Linked DNA regions of Notamacropus eugenii. The protein of the gene in region 3 interacts with the protein of the main gene of each other region in a pairwise test. Links are inferred from orthologs where the notes say so. Each region holds a gene or a part of one and is shown on either strand. Other genes may lie near its edges.

Region 1 (7,402 bases), on a different chromosome or scaffold from region 3:
CTCATTTTTTTTTTTGCTTCTGTTGCAGGTAAAGAAGACTGATGCATTCTACAAATATTTATTAGAACAATTTATTATTTATAAAGAACAAATATTTATTAAGAGCATACTATGTGCCAAGCACTAGGGGTACAAGTAAGAAACCAACAGTCCCCGTCTTCTAGGAGTTTGCAATCTATGTTTGTTCATTTCTAATAGATAACTATGTCTTCACTTGTATTTATGATTTTCCTAGCAAAGATGGAAAGAGATCAGTCAAACAGATGTGTTTTCCAAAAAAAGAAATAGTTCTAGGTTCCAGGAGATGTTGGGGGTAAATTTGTGGCAATACTGAGGGCTTGAACAATTGCCATGCATGTCAATCTCCACATTTTCTCTTCTTCCCTTGACTTAGAACAGATAATGATACATCTTGAAAAGAAGCAGATTTCTGTGTAGAGTGCTTCATGATGACAGTTTAAGCAACTGGAACATTTCAATTCAAAAACATTAATTAAATGCTCACTGTATACTATGCTACATGCTAAAGAAGGTAAAGAGTTTAAATAAGATATATAGAGCTTATTCCTTCAATAGAGATTACCCTATGGGGATTAGAATATGCTGTTGTTCACTTATTCAAGCATGTCAAACTCTTCATGACCTTGTAGACCATACTGCCCATAGGGTTTTCTTGGCAAAGGTAGTGGAGTGGTTTGCCATTTGTTTCTCTAGTGGATTAAGGTAAAAAGAAGTTAAGTGACTTGCCCAACTGGGTTGAGGTGGGGGTGTCACACCTATAGCCACATAACCCTAACTATCTGAGGCTGGTTGAACTCAGGTCTTCCTGACTCCAGCCCCAGCACTTTATCCACTGAGCCACCTAGCTGCCTTCTTATGATATACTCATGCAATAATTATAGTACAAAACAGTACATGCTAAGAGAGATATGGATAGATTGACATGTGAATTCCAAATGGTTGTTGGGGTAGGGAAAAGTCATTATAGGGAACGCTTCATGGAGGTCATAGTATTCAAGTTGTGCTTTGGGTAGGAATTTAAGCAGATAGAGTGCATCCTGGGTCATCTCCAGTCATCCTGATGAATATCTGGTTACTGGATTCACATGGCTCTGGAGGAGAAATGAGGCTGGTAACCTCATTCAAAACAAAGTCAAGTGCAAGTCATGTCATCATTCCTCTGATGGCATGGTCTTCTTTGGCAATGAAGGATGAACACAAGCAGGTAGAGAAAGGTGGTGAAGAAGATAGAGGCATAGTTGTGAAGCTAGAAATACCAGGAAAGTGTGGGAATCTCAAATCCCAGGAAGAAAAAGACTAACCAAAAGGAAGGCACCACCAACAGTGTCAATTGGTGCCCAGCAGTCAAGGAAGTCAACTTTTAAAAGAAGTTTAGCAGTAATTGGGAAACAGTGTGATCCTAGGCATAAAAGATGGGAAACTGAAGGATGTGTATGAGGAATGGAAAATAAGTAACATGGTTTGGCTGAAGGCTAGAGTCAATGAAGGAAGTAGCAATAAAAAGACTGAAATGTTAGGGTATCAGAGTGTGAAGGTCTTCGAATGCCTCAGGTAAAGGAGTTGGAACTTTGAGAAGAATTATCTGTTTTTCCTTTCTGTTTCCCACCCTCCCATGAATGGATCCACCCAAGTCTTCCTTTCAGAGGATCCCTAAGAGTTGCCCTAAACCCCTGCCTCAGAGGAAACTTTCCTCAAGCATCTATTTACTATGCCTTCTCCCATCATACTATGGTCTTTTTTTTGTGCCCAGGGCAATACAGGACAGTTTGGCTTCCTTTTGATCACTGCTTTTGCAAAGTTTAAACATATGCTATCAGTCTTTAAAAATAAAACAATTTTGCTGCATTTCTAACTCCAAGCTGGTAGAAATATTAGTGATTAAAAACAGAACCTCTGATTCCATATCATTCTTTTAGCCAGTGGTTGCTCTGTGGCTGAAGCCAATTGGACACAGCCAACTCCTACTTTCAGTTCAGTTGCACCTTCCCTGATGCCATGACCTCTCACAGATGTCTCTTGCTCTTCTCCTTCCTTTAGTGCGTGTAAAGGCTGGATTTCTAATCACAGTCTCCAGGCTCTCCAAAGCTCAAGTAGATAAGCAAAGGTGAACCCCTAGTTCACTTAGTTGTTCAGGTCATTCATGATTACTTTTAGTTTAAATATTTCATTTTTATCTTAATAAGAAAGATATGAAAGTATTAAAGTAGTGTGGAGAATAGATTTGAGGTGGAAGAGAGGGGGAGGCAGGACAATCTACTGGGAGGCTATTGTGATAGTACAGTGGGTGGTAATGAGAGCTCGTACCAGGGGAGGGGTGAAGCAGAGATAATATGAAGGTAGAATCAAAATAATGATAATTGAAAATGAGAGATGAGAGAGGGATGGAGAGTCAAAGAGAAGAACAAAATTTTTAATGTGAGAGATGGGGCAAATGGTGGTTCCACAGATGGAAATAGTGAGGTCAGCAGGAGGAAGAGGTTTTAGTGGAAAGTCATTGAATTTGAATTACCAGTGGAATATCTAGGTAGAGCTAGAAATATTAGTTTGGAGTTTGAGTCAGAGCCAGAGATATAAATTTGTGAGTGACTTGCACAGAATGATACTAAAAATCACAAAAGTGTTTGAGATTTCCAAGGGATGCAGTACAGAGGCAGAAAAGCAGAGGGCCCAGGGCACAGCCTTAAGAGAATGCCTATCTAAAAGGGTCAGGGTCCATTGGGGAATACCTACTTTAAAAGATGAAAACAAGAAACCAGTGACAGAAACAGAAAAAAGAATGGCTAGAGAGATGGGGGAATCAGGTGAGTGTGGTGTTCCAAAAGTCAGATAAGACAAGAGTGGTATCACACAGGAGAAATAGCAATAATGCAAATATTGTGTAGAGTCAAGGAGGATAATAAGGAAAAAAAGGCCATCAGGTTTGGCCATTTGGTGATCATTATCTTGAAAAAAGTAGTTTGAGTGGAGTGAGGGAGATGGAAACTAGATAACAAAGGGGTGAGGAAGTAGAGGCACTCCTGTAAACAACTTTTTAAACAACTTGAGCAGTGAATGGGGAGGAGAGAGATACAATGTTGGGAGCTGTACTGGGGACAAGTATTAAGTGAAGGCTTTTAAAAAAAGATCAGGTGATCTGAACTTATTTGTAGGAAGATATGAAGAAACTATTAAAAATACATGGAAGAAAGGGTTGATTTATTTTCATCCTCATGTATAGAAATATTAATACAATCCTAACAAACCATTATACAAATTATACATATCATGGATGTATATCCTTATGTACATTCTCATTTTAACAGGTTCCCTCTCTTAGCTAAGAAAACAATTCAGTAAATTCATGGAAGATAAGAATGGAAAACATTGTATGGTTAAGATTCAACTATTGCTGGGAATATATACTTCTGTTGACCTGACCTTTTATAATTATCTTGTATCCCTTCTGAGTCATTGGCATTCTCAGGAGTAGCAAGGCACTAATCCAAGTTCTGAATCCAAGGGTAGAAAATCACTCCAGAACTTTTTCAGAGTTATTTAAATTGCCTTATTGTCACCCTGAAACAGTGCAAATGGACAGGTGTTTCCTCTTTTGACGCAGGGTTGAAATCTTGTCTTTTAAGAAGATTCCAAAATTAGATTATTTCCCTAGCACATTGTAAAATAATTTTGCATTAAAGAATAGGGCCACTGGATACAAAGCACCAGATAGAATCCAAATGTTATTTTTGCTAAATGTATGTACTTTGTCTTCTTAAAGTCACTGTATTTTGTGACTGACAATGTTATTCAGATTTCTGGAAAGTAACTCATTACTTAACACTTTTGTAAGTACTTAGCATTGTAGATTTCAAGACAAAAAGGAACTAGAGGCCTTTCCAATTAGTTTTATGGTATCTAAGGATATGATACCTTTATCTATCCCTTTAGTTCATATACATACAGATTTCACTGCCTCACTGTTATACACGCAGACGTATACAAAGGCGTAGTGGCTGAAACACAACTTTCTCCCAAACCCTTGTCCATACACCAACACCGACACATTTGCATTATTCACATAAAGATGGATACATCGTCCACAGACATGCTCACGAATGCCACACAAAGCTGCTCAGCCTGCTTACAGATGATGAATAGCGCTCACAGACACAACCATATGCAAAACACATACAAACCCCTGACACTTTTAACCTTTCCTCAAGACATCGGAAGCAGAGACACAGCATACATCCAGTGTCTTGCTCACTCTCCCTTGGCTGTTATGTTTTTGTTACTGTTGTTTGCAGAGTTATTTCCCTCTTCTCGCCACCCAGCCCCCAGACCTTCTCCGAGTCACTACTGCGCATGTGCTCTGCATCCCTCCCCTTCCTGGGTACCAGTCGGGCTCTCCCCGACTCTGCCGGCGGAAGAGATGCAGTAGCGTCACGAGCGCCCAGCCCCTTAAAACGCTGCTGGCTGGAGCCACCTCCCTCCTTGCAGCCCGCTGGGGGGATGGAGTAAAGGAGACCCATCGACCCGCCAGTGGAACCGGCTATGGAATTAAAGCAATCGTTGTCCGCCCACCTGGAGGCTGAAAAGCCGCTGAGGCGCTATGGGGCCGTGGAGGAGACGGAATGGAAAGCGGAGGGACTGGGGAGAAGTGAGTACCCGGGCGGGGAGAGTGGAGCAGCCCTGCAAACACGCTGGTGGCTGCTTAAGCGCGGTAAAAGCTGGAGACCGTTCCCTGCCCGGCTGAAGAAAGCGCCCCCGCAGCGGTGCTTTTAGCTGAGGGGGGCGATGCGCAGCGCCGCGCGGGCTTAGGCTTCTAACAAAGGGGGACCGGCACGTCATTCCCGCTGGGTTGTCAATCGATGTGTCCTCGGTCCAGGGGACTTTGCAAAGACAGCCCAGCGGGAAATGGAGAGGGAACACCAATTCCTGGGCTCTGATTTGGGCTTTAGAGATCCTAGTGCAGCCTCTTTCTGATGGACCTTGAGGTGGGCTCTCTTCCTCAGTTGCAGGCAGGCAGGAGGAGAGATTAGGGGTGAAGGATGATTTTCCACCCTGATACTATGAGAACAAGTGGACCAGGAATTCCTAAGAAAGGCAGTTGTCCATGATCAGTTTTCTTGGTCGAGGGTGCATGTGAAATTCTCAGCATTCCTTCTTTTTCTCCAGACACACATGCTTACTTCACCTATTCCGGAGTGGGGAGAGGTGGCACTTGGCTCAACTAAAGGTTTTGGATTGTATGTGCTGTCACTGTATAACAGATGGGCTCTGTTTGCTAAATTTCTAAGGTTCAGTGCAAAGAGCATCTTTCTAAAGATGAAGGATTTTTTTTTGAAGGATGCAACAGTTGACACTTCTGCCCCCAGAGTCCAAAGGCGGGAGGGTGCTTCCTGAGGGCAACAGGGACACTAATCCTCCTTGCAAAAACCTAGAGAGACTCCAAGTGCCCTTCACTTTGCTTGCTTTAATGCAGCTGTTCACCAGATGTTGTGAAAAGTCATCTCCCCTCCTCATTCAGTCTGTACATTCCTGCCTTTGCTCTAGATTACCGTTCTCAGAATTAGCTATAAAGCAGGCATATATATACATATACGTATATGTATATGTATATATATATTTCCAAGCTACTGGGGGTAGAAATGGGAGTTCCATTGACACATGACATATTTGGTTTAATTTTTATTTCAGTTTTCTTGGACAGCTTTCAGTCTCAATGTGTGTGCTCTTTGCATCATCTCTGTCCAGGAGCGAATTGTGTGTTTTCACGTTTTTCCCTTCTCCGATCATTGAGATTTAGAAAGTCTTCTTAGAATGGCACAGATGTGTTCTGATTCAGGTGTATTCAGCTTGAATAGGGACTACAGGTTAATCCATGTTTGGACTGCTGAAGTTTTTTACAGTATAGCACAAGGATCTCTACTATTTAACCTCTTTCTCCCCCCGCCCCTTCCATCTTTCCGATATTCAAATGTCAAACTCTCCTTCTCACTTAATATTTCTACTGTGAGTTTTGTTGCAGTATATGTTATGAGATTACTACTGAATGTATCAATATTTCTTCAGACTCGATTGAATAGACTCCCAGGGTATGTTCATTAATTTCACAATCATGAGGAAGCTGTGGCTGCTTCAGGAGCCTGCCATGTTATGGTCTAATCAGTAGACATGGTTTTGGACCTGATAAGCTGATGTTAATTTAGATCAAACTTTTAATAGAATCTGTAGAAATGACCTGCCTTTTTCCTTTTGCACAATAACACTCTGGAGTAATACTGAGCTGTTGGTTATCACTCACATCACCTTATTGTAGCCTTTTCTTTCCCTGTGAACTTCTTAATCTTTTAGGTCACAGGCTATAAGCTGTTCAGAGCTTTTTAGATAGATTCCTTTATATGTCTTTCTTGCAGTAATCAAACCTATTCTCGTGCTTTTTAAAACTCTGCCCACAGACTCTGGTCTGTTTTTTACAGCTACCTTAAAATCCAAAGTTGGGATTTTTTTTAAACTCAAATTTGAAATCTTCTTAAGAAATTGATTTAAGACAAGCTTTGGAATCTTAGTTTGATAGCTGATAGTTTCATCTTTTGGGGTTTCATACTCTTGACTAGATAGTCTATTATAAGAGCTATTTGAGAGAAAAATAACAATAAGGAGCTCTTTGGGGATCCTTCCCACCTTCCTATATCTACGCCATCATATATAACATCTATGAAATGTATTTATATAGATTAATATGGTATGATGATTGTTATTATTGATTTCCAAAAGTATAAACACCAAACTGATGTAAGGATCTGACATTTGATGTTGAGGTGCTTTTTTATTTGCATAATGTAATGGAAATGTAGACCCAAGGTAATGATTCATTTGCCTTTTAATAGGAGAAAGAGCTCTCTGTTAATGGAATCTCTACATATTTAAATTAATTTTGTTAAACACTAAGCATGTGCTTAATTAAAAGATAACATAAAAGAGAAAAAGACCAGAGGGCTGTTTTTTTTTCTTTTTGGTGAGGTAGGATTGTATAAAATTCTCTTATTAAATGTCTTTAGCAACAATAATAATGAGAAGCTGAATATCTAATTATTCAGAGCAGAAAAATATTTGAGGACTTTAAACCAGATTTTCAAGTCCTAGCTTCTACATATTCCAGTCTCTTCTTCTATATAACTGGAAAAAATAGCTCTACTTTCCTCATAGGAAATTGCTTTGAATCTGTAGAAAGAGTTTCATGGGGAAAATACTTTGGTTTTTAAAAAAATCCGGATCTTTCCTCTAATCACTTTCCTCTGTTGTTGAGACTCATCTTTTGGATTTGAACTGGGCTTTTAAGAGTGGGTAGAATTTAGATAGAAGGAGAGGAGGGGGAAGGGCATTCCAGGTGGGTGGA
Region 2 (7,154 bases), on a different chromosome or scaffold from region 3:
GTAAGAAAGGGCTGTGCAAAGTCATCAGCCTCATCCAGTCCTCTAGAGACATCTATGTAAATATATAAATCAGGACGACTAGAGATGGCCCCCAGTATTCATCTAGGACTCAATGCTGCCATTACTCAAAACATGCCTAGAATACCTCTTTGGTAATCGAGGCCACCCAAAGTAGTCCATCAGTCAAACAGCCTTAGCCTTTATAATTAGCACCATTTTATGTTTAATATGAAATGTATATGTAGAGCTTAAATCACACTGCGTGCAGTCTTGGGGAGGGGAAAGAAAAGGAAGGGAGAGAAAATTTAAAACTCAAAAGCTTGTGGAACTGCATGTTGAAAACTAAAAATAACTTTTAAAAAAGAAAAAGCTTTGTAAATGTTAAGGTGCTCTATGTAAAAGTGGGAGGTCAAAATGAATGGATTATCCAATCAACCCATCCCACTTAAAATGAAAACCTTACTCAATGAAAAAACAAGTGAAATCAACTTGGAGTACAATGCCTCAAAGCCTTTAATAAAATGTTAAACAGAAAATTTAAAAAAATAATAATAATTAGCACCATTTTGTACCAAATAAGTTTTAGTTATTTACAAAAATCAGATCTAAGAATATTTGGAAGTTTGCTTTGACTCCTTCTCCAGCTTCTTACATACCCTATCTTGGGTGGATTGGCATTTTCTGATTTGCACAACGTAGCTACTTCTCTGTTAAGGCTGAACTACTGGAAATTTGGAACTCAAAAGACAGTATTTAACTCTTCTGGGTAAAGAATTTCTTTAAGGATGAAGATTTACCATCATCAGGAACATTTGAAATAACATGAAGCAGAAGCAAAAAGCAATGGCAAAATAGGATTTCCAAGATGTTTTAAGCAATGGTGTCATCACTGGAATAAATGCCTTTCTCTGGTACAATGATTTGGTAGTGCAGAGTTCGGATGCAATTTGTTAAAAAAAAAAAAAATCACTACTCCCCTCCCCACCCAATAGAATGCAAGTTCCTTTGAGGGACAGGCTGGTTTTCTCCACATTCCTAGTGCAGAGCATAGTGCCTTGCCATAGCACCAGAACTGCCCTCACTGGCCACTACATAATCATTTTTTTAAAGCCGAAGGTGCAGGCAATTCAGAGGGCCTTGGCAAAGGGTACATAATAAGTACACGTTTGTCTTTTTCTCCTAAGTTTGGCTTTACTTTGTCCCTTATTTTGTATGCTTGTTTGATTATTAATGAAATAATTCTAAGAATTCACTGAGGAAAAGCATAAATGTGCCCATCCTGAAAATTCACATGGAAGGTTCCTCTTCTCTGGGACGTGGAAATATCTGCCTGCCCATTCCTCCAGCCTGAGCTTTTTCCCTTGCTCCCTTCACTCAATACACAGGCAAGCCTTTTTAGCCTGACATGAAAAAAGTTTTTGGCAAAGCTAAAAGCTACAGTCAAACCCTGGTGGGAAGGGGAAGAAGAAAGAGAACAGGGCTGCTCCAGGTAAGGAACATTTTACCCACAAGGGTTAAACGCTATCTTTTGAGTTCCAGATTTCCACTAGTTCCAGCCTTAACACAGAAGTAGCTATGTCGTGCAAAGGGAGAATGCCTAGCCACCGAGAGGGTGTGTAAGCAGTCGCAAAGGGAGTAAAAGCGAACTTCCAAAAATAGGTGTCGCCAACCAAGCGAATCCTCACCCCCGCAGAGGCTGTAGACACGTGCTCTTAACTCCTTCATGTCGGAGGTGTACGGAACCAGGGGCAGCCAGGGGCGGCAGAGGGAGCTAGACAGGATCGGGGCACCGGAGTGCTACCTCCTCCACCCCCATCCCACCCTCACTAACGTGCAGCCCCAGCCAGCCTCCCTGGAGCTGGACACACGCACACGAACCCAGAACCTGCGAGGGCTGAACCGCGTGCACGCACATTCGCCAGACTGAAACTCACACACACACACGAGCAGAACCTGTGCGGATGAAACGTACACACACCCAAGATTAAAACACACACACAACCTAGAACCTGCACACACACACACACACACACGAGCAGAACCTGTGCGGATGAAACGTACACACACCCAAGATTAAAACACACACACAACCTAGAACCTGCACACACACACACACACACGAGCAGAACCTGTGCGGATGAAACGTACATACACCCAAGATTAAAACACACACATAAAACCAGAACCTACACACATACACACACTAGACTGAAGAATACACAACCAGAATCTCTGCAGATTGAAACGTACACACACCCCAGACTGAAACTCACACACAACCTAGAACCTGCACACACACACACACACACACACTCGAAAACTGTGAAAAAACACACTGGACAGAAAACACACGTACCCGGTGTAGAACCTCCATACGTTCTACACATCGCCTCGGGCAGGGAGGGGGGAAGAGGAGGGGGAGGGGGGAAATCTACGATACGTGGAAGTGGCTGTACAGCACTGAAAACAAAACAAATAATTTTTTAAACAGGAAAAAAGAAAACAGACACAAAGGCAGCACCTCTTCCGGCCTGGCCTCAGTTTACCCACTTGTCCCACGGCCCAGCCTCCCACGTGCCGGGGGCTGCCCAGCCGTGCCCCGACAGCGCGGCCTGGCCCGGAGTCCGCGGCCCGGGGGGAGGGAAGCCCGCTGGGCCTCAGTTTCCTCCTCTGTAAAATGAGCGGGTCCGTACCAGACGGCCTCGGGGCCACGGGGCTAGGACGCCGCCAAGGTTAAAAGCTCAGGGAGGCCGAGGCCGAGGCCCAGCCGGTGTCCCATACCCCCCACCCCCACCCCGGCCCCGCCGGACGGACGGACGGCCCCTGCGGGGGCGGGTCCGAGGCACCCACCTTGAGCTGAGACTTGGAGACTTTGCCGCTGCGGTCCAGGTCGAGCGCGGTGAAGGCGTGCCAGATGGCCTTGAGCAGCTCCTCCTTGAGGCCCCCCATGGCGTGGCCTTGGCCGCGGCCGCGAGCCCCCGATCCCACCAGCGCGGAGCACCCAGCCGCCTCCGACACTGCCCCCGGGCACGGCTGCACCTCCGCCGCCGCCGCCCGCCGGCTCGCTGGCTCCCCAGCCCGCCCGGTCACCTGACCCTCGCCCCGCCCCGCCCCATCTCCGTGCCGGGGAGGAGGCGGGGGCGTGCGGAGGCGCCAGGGGCGGGGTCTGGGCCCAGGGGCGGGGCCCGACCTCGGTTCCGCCCACGGCTCCCGGAGCAAAGCCTTCGGCGCGCGCTGCACGCCGGCCCGGGCTCCCTGAGGCCCCGCCCCCAGACCTAGGCGAGCGTCCGAGTATCCCAGCAGAGCCCGTCGGGAAGCTCGACCCTCCCCACCCAGGGAAGCTTTGCCCCCTGGTTACACCCGGACTGGGTCGGAAGAATGCGAAGCAGAAAGGCCAGCCTCGGGCTGCGGCTGTGTGACCCTGGGCTAGCCGGCCCCGTTTTCTTCCCCTGGAAAGGGGGGCACGGGGATGGCGCCTGCCCCCCCGGGTCCCTGTGAGGGTCCCTGGTGTCTGTCTATGCTCGTCCTTCGTCTCCAAGAAGACCGGGCCGTCACAGGGATGATGACGTGACCTGCGCTGGCTTTGCTTTGAGGGAGGCAGGGCTGCGCAGGTCACCCACCTCACCTGTCCTCCTGAGCCTTCAGGGGTTCATCAGGACGACTGGAGGTGGCCCAGGGCGATGGGAGACCCCGGCCTCACTTAGATTCGGTGAATCAGCCTCTCTAAGAAGTAACAGGGAATGGCCCCTTCAATGAGCCGAAGAAAGGGGGCGCTTAATCAAGGATTCCTTCCTTTAAAGCCTGCTTTTAAATTGGTATGATAAAGTACATGGGATTACAAAGGAAACCAACTCTACTGAAGTTATCAAGGTATTTTGTAAGCAGTTCACGAGGCTCAGGCTAGGAACCCCTGCTTTGTACAAAGACGTCTAGTAAGGCGAACCCCCTACCTCCTAGAGCGGCCCCTGACACTTCCATGCAGCTGGAAGGTTCTCCTGCACCGTTAGGTTTTTTGTGTTTTCCTGTTTTTTTTTCTGACATGGAGCCTAAATCTGCCTGTCTACAACATCGTCTCCCCCCCCCCCCCCCATTTGTCCCTTTGATGCCAAGAAAGAAAAATATAATCCCTCTTCCCCAGAGAAGCTGGGGGGTCACAAGATCATCGATTTAACGTTTAGATGCCATCTGGTCAATGAATCCCTTTCTTTTGACAGGTGAGGATAATGAGGCCCAGCTAGCTTATGAGTCTTACCTAAATTCTGCCTCTCCCCAGGCCCCAGCACACAGGACAATGTTACAAACTGCCAAAGTAGTCCTGAGCTTTCCCCAGACAGTCTTTAGAATTCCACAGGGTGCAACAAAGTAACATTTGTTGAAGTTGAACTGAAAGATAGCTTTGGGAGAAGTCTTCACTTCTTTTCTCCCTGGGTGGATGCTATAAATGTTTAGGATTTCCTAGGACTGATTTCACCGTGGTCTAAGCTGAATTGTTGAATCTGGAGTCAAAAAAGCATTGGGTGCGTCCAGTCCTAAGTCTGCCCTTCGTTAGTTGTATAACTTAACCTTAGGTCTCAGCTCATCTGAAGGTTTTCTATAAATGCCAAGTCCTATTTTGTTCTGTTTAACAGTAATCGATGCTATCCGAAGCTGAAATGGAGTTGCCTCCAGACTGAGTGAGTCTTCACTGGGGGTCTTCAAGAGATGCTTCCTGGCCACTTGTTGGGGATTTTGTAGAAAGGAGTCTTGTGCTGGAGATACCATCTGGGGACCTTTCCAACTGCATGAACATTTAGCAAGAAAATATTTGAGTGCCTGTACCTCCATCCCCAGGAGGTCTCAGACAGAAGGTTCCCACATCCATCTCCATGTTCACAGCAGCACTTTGGAAACAAAGTGAATGTCCATCGAAAGGGGAATAACTAAACAAATCATGGTGTGTGGATGGAATGATTGCTATAAGAATAGCAGAGAATATGAAGTTAGGCAGAATAAGGGATGCGGAACCAGCGAAGCAATATATACCACGTCTACAACAATATAAGTGGGAAAAAAAGAAAAATGGAAGAAAGCTAAATGCTGATAATAACTGATATTAGCCCTGAAGAAGAGATGAGAAGGTCCACCTTCCTCCTTTCACTGCACAGGTGGGAGGCTACAGGTGCACAATGTGGTATACTTTGTCAGGGGTGATTGATGAGGGCCTTGGTTTTGCTTAACTTTTTTTTTCTTTAAGAAGAGAGTGAATGGGGAAAGGGGAAAATATGATGAAAAAGATAAAGGGTATCATGAATAGTTTTTAAAAAAATAAAGGAATATTGATAAATATAGTTATGCCAAATAAGGGAAAGATGTAGGGGGAGGAATGAGCAAGTTATAAATTTGGGCAGACTAGGGAAGGTTTCATAAAAGAGGCTAGTCTTCAGGGTTTTGAAAAAACTGTTATTTTTGACCACAACTTTCAAAGTCCTTTTCTTTCATAATCTCCTACTGTTAATGAAAAGGATGTGTTGCTCGTAGCCCTGGGAAAATTACATATGTCTTCTATTGAGTATAGTCACAGGCTTCTTGTGCTTCTGCAAAATGAGATGCAGGGAGAGTCAGAGCCCTAGAAGTGTTAAGCCTAGAAAGATCCTCAGAGATCATTTAGGACATTCTACAGAAGAAACTGGTCCAGAGAAGGGAAGGAACTTACCCAGGGTCACACAGGAAATAGTAGGGCTAGGCTTCCAATCTATGTCTCCTGACTGATCCTAGAGTACTTCCCCCTCTATCATGCTGCCTTTCATAAAAGGGACCATCAGTGGTCCTAGAAGTGATTTGAGAGTCTGACTGGATGAGTGTGACGCACTCATTCCTCTAGAAGAGGAAATTGATGATTACTCCAACCATCCTGTATGACCGGAGGTAACTAGATGGAGAAGCAGATAGAGTGCTGCTGGAGTCAGGAAGACCTGAGCTCAAATTTGTCTTCAGACACTCACCAGCAATGTAACTCTGAGCAAGTCACATAACCTCTGTCTGCCTCAGTTTCTTCAGCGGTAAAATGGAGATAATAATAGCACCTCCCTCCTGGGACTGTTGTGAGGAAAAAGTGAGGCAATATTTGTGAAGTACTTTGCAGACTTTAATGCACCATATAAATACTAGTTATTCTATCAGCACTCGGCACAGGGTATGGTGTGAACAAGTATTCAATCAGTGTTTGAAGACACTTACTAGCTGTGTGACCCTGGGCAAGTCACTTAATTCAGTTTGCCTCAGTTTCCTCATCTTCTAAAATGAACTGGAGAAGGAAATGGCAAACCAGTCCAGTATCTTTGCCAAGAAAACCCCAAATGGGGTCACGAAGAGTAGGACATGACTGCAGTGACCCACAACAACAAATGAAGATGATGATGATGATAACAGGGACAATTGTAATTCCAGATTCCCAATGTGGTGGAATTCCCAATGTGGTACAAAGAATCAGAAGAGCTGCAGTTTGGAATGGGATATTTACTAGTTCTGTGTCTTTGAGCCTCAGTTTCCTTATCTGTAAAAAAAAACACTTTGCCCTGTCACCTTCACAAGGTTGCTATGAGGACTAAAGGAAATGATATTTGGGAAATTAGAAAGAACTGTATGTATATGAAGCAGGGAATCAGAGGATCTGGGTTTAACCAAACTCACTCAGAGTTCTGCCCCCAGCCTGCTAATTAACTCTTTACCACATTTAGTCTCATCATCATACGAGAGTTCTACAAATTCTAGGGTATCCAGGAGTATGTTTTGGTATTTCTTCATAAACTGCTAAAATTTAAACCTCTCTTACTCTCAGTTAAGGTCAGAATGCCCACTTATGTTTTGGTATTTCTTCATAAACTGCTAAAATTTAAACCTCTCTTACTCTCAGTTAAGGTCAGAATGCCCACTCTAGCTCATCAGATATTATTTATTCAGTGAAAATAGGACCTGGAGGAGGAAACTCTCTCTACCAATGCAGGTCAATACCTTCTCTTCAAGTTAAAGCCTTAGAAAGTTGCCTAGAGTATTGATACATTAAATAACTTGCCTGGTGTCATAGAGTTAATACAAGGCAGAGACAGGACTTCAGTCCAGGCCATTTGGACTCTCTGTCCATCATAACATAATTCTTTTCCAGGCCCAGGTAACCT
Region 3 (6,948 bases):
AAGCATCTTTTAAAATGAAAACATTAATATTTAAAGAATTCATCAGCTGGCTAGAAAAGATTGCAACATTCTTGACACACCAGGATGGCTAAGTTGTCTGGTTTAGCCTGTGATCTCTCTTGACATTTAAATATGCCAGTCAACTGAGACACTGCAGGTTATGTGTCTACAACCAAGAACAAGAAAAAAGACTATAAACTCCTTCGTGGATATAACTAGATTCTGTATCGATAGTCATATGCATTATTCATTACTAACTATATGACCACATCAAGACACAGTTCCTTCTAGAAATAGTGAGCAAAATGCAAAGTAGTCATTGCTGTCACAAACTAATACCATCTTATACTTCTATTGCATTAGGCTTTACAAAGTGACTTCATGTACACTGGCTCATTGGATCCTTCAGCATCCCTGAAGGATAAGCAGGGCAGATATTAATATCCCCATTTTACAGATACCACTAATAATAACTGTCTTTGGTGTTTATACATGGCTTCAAGGTATGCAAAGCATTTCCCATACCTTAATTCATTTGATCTTGACTACAACTCTGTAAGGTTTTCTCATCTCTAAAATGGGGATAATACCTGTAGTACTTACCTCATCATTATATTCTCCCGGGGAGGTAAGTACTACAGGTATTATTATCCCCATTTTACAGATGAGGAAACTGAGGCGCTGAGATTTTAAGTGACTTGCCCATGGTCACACAGCTAGGAAGTGTCAGAGGTGGGATTCAAACCCAGGTCTCTCCTGACTCCGAGTCCAGCACTCTATCCACTACACCACGCTGCCTCTCAGGAAGCTTAGGCAGACAGTGGTGAACTGACTTGCCCAAAATCACATCCTGCGTTATTACAGTACTGGTGCTAGAACCCTGGTCTCCAGCTTTATATATAGCCTATTGCTGTTTTCACTATACCCCAAAGAGAAACTCTTTAACATTGCTTAAGTAATTAAACACTAAAGGTTTCTTTTAATTTGCAGATTTTTAACCATTGTGACTGATGACAGATTAGTTAATAATAGCTCTATATTTTAAAAATCAAATTTCAAACAGTTTCAGTAGGACAGAAACATTACAAAAAGGACCAGCTCAAAAACAGATCAGTTAAGTGCTGACTTTTCTATATGATTTTATCATAGGAAAATGCTGGCAAAAAGGTTCCCGGTGAATTATTAGCCATCATAAACATGCAAAGAGATTATATATTAAACCTTAGGGCAAATGGAAAAATAAAGTTTATTATTTTAAGAAACATTTCATTACAAAGCATTAATAATTAGATAATTTATAGATGCATTAAGCATAGGAGCCAGGTTTTCTATTTTTAAAACCATTTTTCATAAACAATTAAATTCAGATTACTCTCCACATTAGTAGACTATTCATTTTAAAATGCTCCTAGTTCCAAGAAATAATTTTGTATGATTTAACTGTCACTGAAATCTTCTTGCTATTTATTGCACGTAACTTCTCTGATATTAGTACATATTGTTTTAGACATAAATAGGGGCACCCTTTGCCAAAAATCTTGCTAGTATATGACAAATGAAAGTCAGACTTTTCCCTAAATGTCTGTCAGCTATATGAGATTTTTTAAAAAAGACACAGTATTCCTCTTTCTCCAAACTGCTTAAATCTTCTACAAACTTCTATCATTTTGGAGCATACAATCTATATGTCAGATTTCTGATTTCTAATTGGTTACAAATATGATCATTGTAAAGGTTTCAATATGGCAGAAAGTAATATTTCACACAACTATAAATAGAGATGTTATGCAGATAGCAACATGACATTGAAATATTCCCCACCAGGACTATCTCAAACTCTAAAATTCGAAATGGTTTTCTCTGTGAGATCCCTTGCTTAGATTTTAATTCCAAGCACAGTTCAGATGCAGCACCTTTTAATCAGGGTAATAAACTATGATGTCTTACATACTGTGTAATGTTTACTGTTAAACCCACAATCTGGTCAAACACAAAATTATCTTGTCATCGCCTGGGAAAATTACACCCCCACCCTGAATACACACACACGCACAGAATCCCTGTTAATGGAACTGTACTTAGAAGTTAAAATGAACTGGCTGTTTGCTTGTTTATGTGACAAAAGGAAAGGTATCCCTTTTCCGGAATGGCCAACAAACCCAAAACACACAAACAAAAAACCCAAAGTAGCCAGGCGGCCTCATGACCTATCTAATGTACAAACCTTGAGGAGACCACTGGGAATAAATATGCAAAATGGTTTGAAGTTTTCAACTGGGCCCCAATACTTTGATTCACAGAGCAAGAAAAGAATCGCTAGGCTGCCTTATCTGTTACCCCAAACCTCAGATAGAAGTTAAGAAAAACGCCCCCTCCCCCTTGGTCCAAACTGCCAGGCAAATATCAGATTTTACCCCTCTGCCTTCCTGCACTAATAGAAGTGGGGTTCGCCAAAGGGCAGCTTCGAGACAGCTGTTGAAGGACAGAGAGGGTCTAGCCAGAGGATTTGCGGTGGTATGTTTTTTGTTTGTTTGTTTTTTTAACATAACCACATTTCATTTTCTATCCCCACGTGTATGGTTACTCCAGCGGGGTGGGTGAGAGTATCTCTCCTAACATCCCCTAGGGAGATTCTGGGCCACGGTCCCTCCCCTTGCACTCCCCCCAATTCCTCCTCCGCCATCCCCTCTTCTTCCTGGGCATCTTGAGGGCTCTCTGATTGCTCTTCGTCTCCAAAGAAGCAGGTGCTGGTGCTGGGGAGGGAGGCACGGGATGCAGAGATGCCCGGCACCGCAATGCAACCAGCAGCTCCTTACTGCCGCTGCAGCAGCTTGGGATGGAGGGGAGGCGGGGGCGAGGTTGGGGGGAAACGGGGCGTTGGGGGGTGGGGAAGAGTTCTTGTGATACCTTTTATCCAGGCAGGCGATCCACTCTGCGGAGGAGGAAGAATGGGCAGCGTGCGCAGCGACCATGTTGGGCTGTCAGAGGGAGCCAGTCAGCCACCTCCCTTGTGTCTCAGTGCCTTTGCTCTCCAGCTGGCTTTCCTCTCTACCCACTGCACCACCACCACCTCCTTCCTCTCTTCCTCTCACCCAGAGAGCAGCAAGCAGTAGGTTCCTCTACATCCCTCTCCCTCCCCCCCACCCCAGTTCCTCCCTCTCAGCCTGGCTCCTGCGGCCTTCAGGCAGAGGAGCGGGAGACTGCCGGGTGGGGGCTGGCGAAGCGGGAAGCAGCTCAGACGGCTGACCTCGAAACCCCTGCCCCAGCTCCCCGGGCTCCCGGGCTCCCGGGCTCCCAGGCTCCCGGGTCCCCGGGCTGGGGCTGAGCAGCAGAGGGCAGTGGCGGCTTCAGGGCAGAGCAGACCGCACTGCGGGTCCCAGGTGTGTCTCCTCGCCTGGAGCAGGCAGGGAGTGAGGAGCTTCGCAGTCCCCCCAGGCTAGGTGGCTGCTGTGCGACAGGTGGCCGGGCCAGGGGGATTGGCTCGCTCCCTAGCTCGCTTGCTCTTCTCCCACCTGGCTCTCACTGGCGCCAGCCCGGCCCGCAGCTCGGTGCAATGGTTTGAGGGGAATGTGGGAGGGGAGGCGAGGGGGGCGGGGGGAGAGAGATGTGTTGTCAGTGTCATTATTTTTCATACGGCATCTGCCACTAAAATGGCTGCTGCCTCTGTGTTTCCTTAGAAACCGATTAATCTTCCTCAGCAGCTGTCAAAACTTGCTGGCGTTTCCTCCTCACCTTTCTTTTCATTTCTCTCCTCTGGAAAGGATGAAGGGAAGAGGGGAGGGGACAAGAAAAAGTCTCCGCTAGAACAGCTCCAATGGCAACAAGTTCCCTGTCAGCTGGGTCCTGGAAAGATACCAATTAGAGGACGTGGGCCAGAGGTGGGGAGAACTGCTTGGCATTTCAGGTATTGACCAAGGCCTGGGAGGTGAATGGAGAGAGCACTGTAGCCTAATCCCCAAACCAAGGCCTGGAGATGCAGCATGTGGAACTGGGAGAAGAAGGAAAAACAGAGATTGCTGTCACATTTGATTGGAGAAAACCTTGAATTCAGATGAAGCCGCACAAAGAAAGTTCTCTTGGAGGGAGAAGTGGAAAGGAGGGCTGCCATCAGAATAGAGGTGTGGGTAGTTCTGTTGAAAAAACTGTTCCAGAGATAACAACACCTGCCTACTCACTTCCAGCTCCTACACCCCCATCTGCAAACCAAACCCAAAACCTAAGGTGGACTGTGTCATAAAGGCTTATTCATTTTAAGAGTCAACAAACAATAAGCAATGTAGAAATTATCCAGTAAGATTCTACCAGAGGAGAAAAACTAGTTCTCTGACTTGCTCAAGAATTCTGAGACTCATTAAATCTTTTGATTATCACAATGGCTGTGTTAGTGAATTACTCAATAAAAGTTCAGGGGACCAGAGTCACAGCCATGGTCCCTCTCTTCTGCTTTTAAAGAAACAAAGCAGAGAGAAAGCTCTTGGAATGTTTTTACTCCCCTAGAAGTGACAGCATATTAAAACACCCCAGAAAGTATTCTGTTTATCCTCAAACCACCTTATCTCAGGATATGATTACAAGATTATCAAGTGGACTTCCCTCCTCGTAGTTTGTCCTTTGGATCCCCGTTGAACTTCCTTGGTTAAATTCTCCAACTTTTTTCAAGGTAATGGAGACTACTGAAAACACGGCCTAGAAATTATCATGCCAAAATATTTCCAGTGGTCACATTTTTTATATGATAAATATGAGAAAAACAGTTGACTCATATCCTTTCTTATGTAGCCTGATTTATTTAATGGTCTCAGGGTTCTTGAAAATACATAGAAGGATAACAGATGCCTACTCAGATTGTCTTACTCAAAAGATGGTGATAATGAGAGTCACAAGGAGAACAGTCTTCTCCTTAATTATAAGCAAAGTTTATGCCAATATTTCCTATCATCACTTATACAAAAAGGGAGTACATCCAGCCTAAAATAATTCAAGGTGTGGGTAAGTAGACAGTTTTGTGAGTATGAGTGTGAGATTTGTAACAGCAATAAACCTTGAACTTACTGAAAATTAGAATACTCACGTATACCATTGTGAGTTTTGCTGGTTCACTCAATTCAGAGCATTGCTACAAAGGGTTTACTACTGAGATAATAGAGATGAAAAACCATATTCACAGAGTCTCAGGGTTGGTCAAAAGTCATCTAGTCCGTCTCGTACAGGAATGAATGAACAAGAATCCCCTCTTAATCCTCTATAAGATATCCAACAAGGCCATTCACTCTTTGTTTGAATATTTCCTATGTGAAGGACCCATTCTCTCTCAAGGTAATTCATTGCATTTTCATTTAGCTGTAAATATTAGGAAATTTTTCTTTACTATCAACCCTAAATTTGCCTCTTTTGTAACTCTGTTCCCCATCCCTGATCTTAATTCAGTCCTCTGGGATTAAACAGACCAAATCGAATGACTTTTCATATGACGAATGGAAATACTTGAAGACAGGTATCATATCCAATATGTCTTCTCTTCCCTTTGCTAAACATCCTCAGTTTATTAAATGGATATGCATATGGCCTACAGGAACTCTCTGGCACCATTCAGGCTAATCTGTTCTGAATATTCTCCAACTTAGGTCGTACATGTAGTTTGTGGCATATATAGATATGCAGGCTTCAGAAAGGAAATAGGGAACACCAGATTAATCTTGCAGAATCGGGCACCTCCACTTCATAAATGAGTGAGTGAGTAATAAGGAATTTTCCTTCCTAAAATGTGGTTAAAGGACTGAATACAATACTACCAATGTGATATAAACCTCTCCTCATCCTGGCTAATACATATCCATCAATACAAGTCTAAGTTCATGTTTTGGGGAGGGGAAGAATTTTTCTACCATATGTCGTTGGTTGACTCATCTTGAACTAGCAATTCAGTAAAGTTCCCAGTTATTTTTAGAGATGTTTCTTCCTTGCCTTACCCCATCCATGTTGTATTTATCAAGTTGATTCAAGAAATTGTGTCTTGCTTTCAATAATCCCAAGCAACTCTTTAATGCTGAAACACATGTTTTTAACATTAATATTTTCCCAGTGATGCTTATGAATGCAAATCATGAAGTACTATAATTTCAAAAGCAAAATTGCGTTAGACCCGAAGGCCAAAGGAGAGATATAAGATAGGTATAAGTAGGTTGCAACATGTTAGCAAGGATGATTTGTGTACACTTGTGAAAGAAATAAGATCACTGATATCACTGGAAGGGACTATGGAGATCATTGATTCCATGACAAAACTGAAACCCAAAGAGACTGATGGGCTTTCTCAATGTCAGAAAGTTAGTGATAAAAAGCAGAACCACATCCCAGGTCCTCTGACTCCAAATCTGCAGCTCTTTCCTTCCTACCTCTGGTCTAATAAACTAATAAATTCATGTATGATTACAGAGTCCATCCTGCAAGGGATCTTGGAACAAAGAAGATCTGGGCTGGGAGGTATCTTGGAACATAAAAAAGCTATTAAAGTTAGAAGAAATCTTAGAACAGAGAATGTCAAAGTCAACAGATGACCTAGAGATTGTTTAATTCAATGCTCTCATCTCACAGATGGGTATATTGAAGCTCAAGCCAGTTAAGTGTCAACGCAAAGTCACCACGCTAGTGAACAGAATCATCTTTACTGACTCCCAAACCCACACTCTTTCTACCCAAGTAACTTGCTCAAATCAGGTGTGACTAACATCAATCATTCAACAAGTATTAAATTAGCATTTTCTTATTAATACCTACTTCCTGAATTTAGAGTTATCTGTACCAGTGATACAAGGATACAATGACAGTGATAGAGATACAATGACAAAAATGAAATGGTCTCTAACCTCAAGGGCCTCTTTATATACTATTAAGGAGGACTATGTACACATGAATATGTACAAAATAAATACCAAGCAATCTGGGGGA

The links.
Region 1: the proteins of RAPGEF4 (region 3) and BMERB1 interact in binary tests that used the Homo sapiens proteins (3 or more experiments, as listed by UniProt). The link is inferred for Notamacropus eugenii from reciprocal best matches to the Homo sapiens genes RAPGEF4 and BMERB1.
Region 2: the proteins of RAPGEF4 (region 3) and SWAP70 interact in a two-hybrid assay, tested with the Homo sapiens proteins (2 studies listed by BioGRID and IntAct). The link is inferred for Notamacropus eugenii from reciprocal best matches to the Homo sapiens genes RAPGEF4 and SWAP70.

Annotation. Positions count from the first base shown.
Region 1 is NC_092872.1:95,857,639-95,865,040, forward strand, and holds the start of BMERB1 (bMERB domain-containing protein 1), read left to right. Parts: upstream 1-4,398; 5' UTR 4,399-4,554; coding exon 4,555-4,660; intron 4,661-7,402.
Region 2 is NC_092877.1:35,808,155-35,815,308, forward strand, and holds the start of SWAP70 (switch-associated protein 70), read right to left. Parts: upstream 3,099-7,154; 5' UTR 2,950-3,098; coding exon 2,851-2,949; intron 1-2,850.
Region 3 is NC_092876.1:234,643,347-234,650,294, reverse strand, and holds the start of RAPGEF4 (rap guanine nucleotide exchange factor 4), read right to left. Parts: upstream 3,072-6,948; 5' UTR 2,973-3,071; coding exon 2,908-2,972; intron 1-2,907.